Daphnia pulex: one gene and its partner. The protein of the gene in region 2 purifies or fractionates together with the protein of the main gene of each other region. This does not show direct contact. Links are inferred from orthologs where the notes say so. Each region holds a gene or a part of one and is shown on either strand. Other genes may lie near its edges.

Region 1 (3,059 bases), on a different chromosome or scaffold from region 2:
TTAAGGACGAACACCGAGTAGGAAAACTAGCATTTGTACGAAGGTATGTCAATCATCCACCACGTTGAATTTTAGAGGCAAGTTTTTTTTACTGACGAAAATAATTGGTCGTCGTTATCTCGCGGTCGTGTTCGAGTCCATCGGCTTAAGAAAGATTCTATAAAATAATAAATATATTGAATATCAAGAGAAGTGACCTAACATCCGTATCCGTTTGGGGAGGCATGTTGCCTGGTGGCTAGACAAGGCTAAGTCGATTAGAAGAAAACTTAACGACAGTGTAGTATGCGAATATACTTGAAACAAATTTACTCGCCTTCATTCGAACTAATTTTCAACGTGATGACAGGAGAAAGTTCGTTCAAGACAAGTAAATTTATGTCTTTCTTTATTCGCATCAATTTTAACACATTTTTCCTTTGGAAATATGGATTGAATTAACTCCAAATTTAGCTGCGCTGGAATAAAAGCCTACCAAGGGATGCAACAGGGATTCCACTGAAAGTGTTTAGGGTTAGCAAGATTAGGAATTATGCAAAGGGAGGACACAAGATGGGTTGCATTTCAACGGAAGGGACGCTGATAACGCTAAAGAGCTATTTGAGATGGTTTACTGAAGAAATGGTATTGAAAGTAAACAGTGTATTCAATGGCATAAACGCTCGCTTAAAGTTCAACGCTCAAACTTCTGAAATGGGAAAAAGGCAGAGTGGTATAATTTACACATAATATCAGTAGTAGTCTATATCACATTTTTAAATCATCTCGTAGCCCTATACATAATCTCCATGTATTCTCGGAATTGTTTTCTTTTTCCGCAAAAGTTCTAGTAACTTCTCGGAAAACTTATGGAAAACGGCGATGACAAATTATTCAACGGATATTCCTGCGTTTAAACAAAAAAAAACTGGAAGCTTTGATTGTCTCAATGCAAAATTTAATGGACGAATCATTTTCTGTCAGATCAAATGAACTACAAATTCGTAAATACAAACCGCAACCGTATCTAAACAAAAAAATGTTGCTGAATTATTTTTTTGATTTGAGGCAAAAACAAAGAAATCAATTTAAAGGATCGTTTGGTGAAGGAATTGTCAATTATGGATAGTGACGTTTACAAAATTAGGCGTACAGAAGCTATATTAATCATGTTGTGTATTATCTTTCTTGGAAAGGTTTCAGAGATAAGGAGATGGCTTCCTCTGTGTAAAATCCAGCAGTCGACATTTAGCCCCCTCCTTCTCCTCAGAAGACGAATTCGACTGCGCTGCTCCTTTCGGCGAGCTCCGGAAGCTTTGCCTTACTTTGAGGTATGGGCGGTATGGTTCAAATCCTGAAGTATTGGGTAATAAGTAGAATAAATATTCCAAGGATAAAGGTGGCATAAAGAAGGTAACCTCAAATTATTTCTTTGGGATTCAAGGGAGTCGACAATTTCTTATTGATGCATTTCAGGAAGCTAACAACTATCGTAGGGATTCCTTATTTGATACTGTTATGGAAAAGGTTTTAAAAATTACCTTTTACATTTTACAGGCACATTCACATCAGCTACCCATTTTTTTATCCTATAATGTCACTGCAAAAATTTGAAATCAAAGGCTATTGAAGTAACTAATTTTACAAGACTTTTTTTAAAACTGCTCGTTATTGTAAAAGAAAAATCAACAAAAATTTAATAAATATTATCATACAATTTTTATTTCTAGAAACATATTAGAGACTTTTTTTATCTGAAAACTGTGCAGAAAGTTGACAAAAAAAGCTTCCTGGCATATGGACTAGGATTTACTATTATAGCCGTGTAGTATTTGCCATTATTCTATTATTGCAAACTATTTTAGTAATAGAACCACAGTGTGGCTTAAATTCTAGAAAAAAAAATTCTTTTTATCTGTAGCAAGGCGGGAACCGACAGTTCTTATAGCAAGTCAGACCCTGCTAGCCTTGATGGTGCGATTGCGTTGGATGGTGCAATTGTAACTGCGCCACCCAACTAACACTTTCTCTTCTTGCACAATCACATCCTGGTGATGGTGCTACTGTATTTGTATTTGCGCCTCAAGTATACAGTGATGTTGCAATCACATCTGTGTATTAAAGCCCACGCTCTGTCTCTTCCAACCAGAGTTGCCCGGCAGTGTATTCCCCAGCATCGGTAAATATACGTATCCTTCTCAAGATATATGTTCAGTGTTTGTGTTGTTCTTTGGTAATCTAAGTGTTAATGTTAGTTAAGTGTTAGAGCAAATTAAGTGTTAGTGCTTGAATCTTGTGATAAGTTCATCATCACATACCAAAGACTTATACTGTGGCTTTTTGGATTCAATTTGCCAAAGAAGCAAAACGGTGTTTTCCAAGAAGCCAGAGACTGGGGACCAAGAAGCCACACCTCATACGTCATGATGCTTCTTGGCCAGTATGGTAGTGTGGCTTCTTGGTGCTGGCTTCTAGTGAAAGTGGCTTCTTGACTTGACGACGAAAACGTGGGAGATTGTCACTGATGATGGAGAATCTTTTGACGAAAAGGCAGCTGTCTGGCATATAAATGACAAAGCAATGTGAAAGTATGCTTAACAATACTGTTAATAAACGCTAGTCTAAATCTAAATTATTCAATATTTAAATTTAGAAAAGTAAATTTTGGTGGACAGTGATTTCAAGGACCGCCCACCAAACATGGTGGGGACCCGATTTAATCTAAGAGGAGCCTATCTCAACTTTGAAGAGATATTACGTGTTGAAATTCAAATTTTAAGAGTAGAAAAATACTTTTGAGAATCAGCGTGAAAAACTGATTAGAATTATATTTATTTTTACCTGATCCCTTATTCATGCACAAACCCTAATGAATAATTTCGTCTATAATAGGATGTCAAGATATACTCTGTAATCTCGATTCACGTTTCTATTTCATTTAACTAAAGCATAAAACTCTCACTGAACCCTTTGTTCCAGCCATTTGTTCTTATAGGAACACTGAGTTATGCCGAGACTTGATTCTATTTTATTTTATTTGCTACAAACCAAAATAAAATGCACTATGTATTTTTTACGGG
Region 2 (3,762 bases):
AGCGTCATTATCCAAAGCGAAAAGGAAAAAATCGCGAGCTTTATTGTAATCCGCTCGGCGGAGTGAACAATTGCCTAAGCAGACGAAGGCGGCCGCATTGTAAGGATCCGAATCTCTAGCCACTTCGGCGTATTTTTCAGCGCTGGCTATGTCACCTTGCTGAATCATATCGTTAGTAAAAAAATAGAAAAAGAAAAGAAAAAAACGGAATTAGTTTACGATTGTGTAAATTTATGCAGTAGGCGTTGAACGTACTAGGTAATAAATTGTCGACAGGTTGACAGCTGCGTTGGTAGCCATTCTGCTGGATCGTTTTTCAAAGCTCCTCAGCGTTTCGGTAGCCAGGGCCACGTCCTTTTGGCGTAGAAAGAGTACGGCTTTATTGATCTCCAAATCGTCTGCCAGATGATTGTGGGTTGACTCTTTGATGGCCTCGACGCACCTGGACATAAATCATTGTTATTTATCAAACATCCCCCCACGACGGATTTGAATAAATTATACAACTTACCACTGGTAGCCAACACTAAAAGTATCTTCGATCACAGGCGAGATTAACTTGGCGGCCATCAATATGCACCTTTCACCTTCAAATTTGGCCTGACGCTCCAAACGGTGTAACGAATCGTTATTCAACGCTTCACGCAACGAATTCCACTGGGCGTCACCCTGTGCAAACATCATTTATCCAGGAGAGGGGGAAGAAGAAAAATAAACAAAACAACAGAACTGAGCACACGAGATTATTCAAATTGAGAATGAGGCAGAGCATCTTATTAACCTCCGGCACCAGTTTATCAAAATCGTCCGACTCGGCACGAACGTCCAGCAAGCGAAGGAACGATTTGCGCATATTTTCCCGATCTGCCAAGGCGTAGTAGCTGAGCACCATGTGTAAACCTTTGAATGTTTGACGTTTTGGCATCAGGAAAAAGGGTAAAGCAATAAATTTAAACCAATTTGAAATTGACTTACCAGTTTTGAAGTCGGGCTTTTCTTGCATAACAAATTCGAAGCTCGTACAGGCGTCGTTGTACTGCCCCATTTTGATAAACAGCAAGCCAATGTTCTGCATTATTTTCGTCCTAATAAGGAATTCGTTTAGCAAGAGTAATCGAGAATTAGTTCTAAAACAAATAATGAAAATGTTATTACAGCCATTTACACTACCTTAATGTTGTAAAGTGAGCCGGAACTTGATCTAAAGCCATTCGATACTGCTTGAGTGAGAGCGCGTACTGTCCCAGACGAAAATGTAAATTGGCGGTATTGAGTCGCAGTCGACCGATGTTGGCGAAAGAACGATTTTTAATTAGCTGCTGATAGGACGACATGGCTTCTGAAAACAGTCCGTTACCGACGTACTGATTCGCTAGGTTGAACAGCACCTGTTTATTCGAAAATTCTTCGTATTAGTAAAAAACATGGAATAGCAAATTTTTTAAAGCAAATCAAGGCGCAGATCGTAATTACCATGAAAGCGAGGTCGCTATTCGATTCCCCCATGCCGGATTGCTCCTTTTGACGTATAAGACTTCGTTCTTTATTGACCGCTTCTTTGGCCTTGTCTAGTGCCACTCTAAATTCCTCTTTACTGTGAGCCACAATTGATTCTTCTATAATTTGTTGTATGCTACTTTCCAGCATTTTCATCTGCTTTTCTGGCCTGTGTAAGATTATAATGAATTTTGTGTAATAAGTTTGGGTTGACAACAAAAGCTACATACGGATCAACAGCTTTAGGTTCTGAAAATGGTGTTGTAACCCTGCCAGATTGATTCAAAGGATCGTAGACCTGACTGGCTGTTGCCAATCTTGATGAAGTATATCCTGCTCCACGAATTGCAGTTACTGGTCTGGCAACTGCAGTTGGAACCCCACCACGAGATGCTGTAACCACTCTTGATTGCTAATATCAAGTGCAATTGATGATAAATAAATGAAAATTGATATTTGGAAATCTTATTAATGTACCACTAAACAAATGAATAAAACCGCTGAGACATTTTACATAGTCTTGTTAACATTACCTGCATCTGTAGCATTGACTGCTGGTTTTTAACATCTCTAGATAGGGAGTCTTGAATGAGGCTAGATGTGTTCAGTGTAGGATGAAATTCATTGAATCCAGAATAAAGATCATCTTCATCATACGTTTCCATGTTATACTTATCCATATTATATCACTGAAAGATATGATCACTTCTAAGTAGTAATATGTAAGGTCAAAACAAACAATCACCATAGCAACTGTGTAACTCATTCCATTGTTGAACAATCTGACAGTACCCAAATTGCAGCCAGAAATAGCTTCTTTGATGATGACAGCCATATTAGCAATATTCTCAGCTATGAAATGTAATTAAACTTGTTACAATTTCTCCTAACCCATTGTTGAAAACAGGTTGATATGATTTTAACCACCGGTGCAACTTATGCTCGCTTATGCTTCTGAATTCCTATCAGAGGTAGTAGTAGACTAGTAGTAATGATTCTAAAAGGATTGGGCATCTTGGAAAATTTTTCAGCCTTGCAGCTGTATTCCTCCATTCATTTTTTATCCAGATAAGAAAATGAACTCCAAAAAATAACGACATTCCATTGCTAAATGACAACAGTCAACTGCTGTTTGTCTTTGTCAGCTAGGTGAGCTAGCCGCCCTAGCCCTAGCAGACAATGTTTTTCTAAAATACAACGTTGCTGTTATTTCCCTGATAGAAAACGACGAGCAGTCGGGGGGTGGGTGGGTAAGTCGAATAAGGCGCCGCTTAGTGAGTGATCGGGGCACTTTGGCAGAGTGATAGACTGATAGAGACTATGGTGATATTGGTGAAGCGACGCTGTAGGAATTCTCCATCATCTTATTATCTATTATCCATTACCTCTATCATCACAGATTATCTGTAAGTTATGTTATTAGCGCCACAAAAAAGAAACGTTTAACAGTAACATGAAAAAAATGTCCGCTCTACACCCTGGTTGACACTCAATTGCAAGAATAACTAACAATCAAAGACTTTGATACTCACATAATATTCTCCCCTTTCAATTTGTATCTCGTCTTCACCCAAAAATGAAAAATTCACCACCGCAGCATCACAGCACATCACAACAGACGAAATCCCCCCATTGCTTCTACAATGAGAGGAAGGCAGCATGACATTCGCTTTTGTGTCTCATCTGTTACTGTTAGTGATTCCAGATTGTTGACGAAATATCGTCGAGCTACCTCTACGTATCACCCTTTTAGCTTTAGTCCTGTCATTCTGAACTGAGCCTTACCTGTGATTAATCTTTCTTTCTTCTAATTAGGTTCGATGGCCATTGATGATTAGTGAGCAGCATAGGAATGCGACAGCTTTGTCTGGGTCTGGGCTAAATGCCCTACTAGATAGAATCCTCTTGGGAAACTTCGCTGCTCCTAAGTTACACAATACACCTCTTAAGCTACTTCCAAAAAGCAAAACAAATTTAGATTAGGATTTTGAGGTAAGTTTAACTGTTTTTAATTAATAACAATTACAACATAATTTAGCTATTGGTTCTAATTGCATTCTTGTACACTGTAAATTTAAATTTGTTGATTAATTTCCCTGCTATAATGCAATATATTTTATTAGTTTATGTTCAGGTGGGAGATCCATTTGCTTGTCTATCAAATAATTTGAGATCACAACAAAGTCTGAGCTTCATTGCTGTCATGCAGATGGTTTCATTGCAACCACCCGGTGAAAAAGGAGTTCAAGTTGAGCTGCAGCTGCT

The links. Proteins that work in one complex are often made in the same cells at the same time.
Region 1: the proteins of intraflagellar transport protein 88 homolog (region 2) and intraflagellar transport protein 46 homolog purify together in Homo sapiens (affinity purification with mass spectrometry; 3 studies listed by BioGRID and IntAct, with this or other methods). This does not show direct contact. The link is inferred for Daphnia pulex from reciprocal best matches to the Homo sapiens genes IFT88 and IFT46.

What each region holds. Positions count from the first base shown.
Region 1 is NC_060020.1:8,814,161-8,817,219, forward strand, and holds the end of intraflagellar transport protein 46 homolog, read right to left. Parts: exon of another isoform or gene 2,633-3,059; intron 2,568-2,632; exon of another isoform or gene 1,965-2,567; intron 1,334-1,964; coding exon 1,179-1,333; 3' UTR 644-1,178; downstream 1-643. UniProt on the Homo sapiens protein: Forms part of a complex involved in intraflagellar transport (IFT), the bi-directional movement of particles required for the assembly, maintenance and functioning of primary cilia. May play a role in chondrocyte maturation and skeletogenesis.
Region 2 is NC_060019.1:9,737,861-9,741,622, reverse strand, and holds the start of intraflagellar transport protein 88 homolog, read right to left. Parts: upstream 2,656-3,762; 5' UTR 2,290-2,655; intron 2,206-2,289; 5' UTR 2,178-2,205; coding exon 2,031-2,177; intron 1,910-2,030; coding exon 1,728-1,909; intron 1,667-1,727; coding exon 1,474-1,666; intron 1,389-1,473; coding exon 1,171-1,388; intron 1,086-1,170; coding exon 976-1,085; intron 901-975; coding exon 782-900; intron 670-781; coding exon 512-669; intron 443-511; coding exon 256-442; intron 160-255; coding exon 1-159. UniProt on the Homo sapiens protein: Positively regulates primary cilium biogenesis. Also involved in autophagy since it is required for trafficking of ATG16L and the expansion of the autophagic compartment.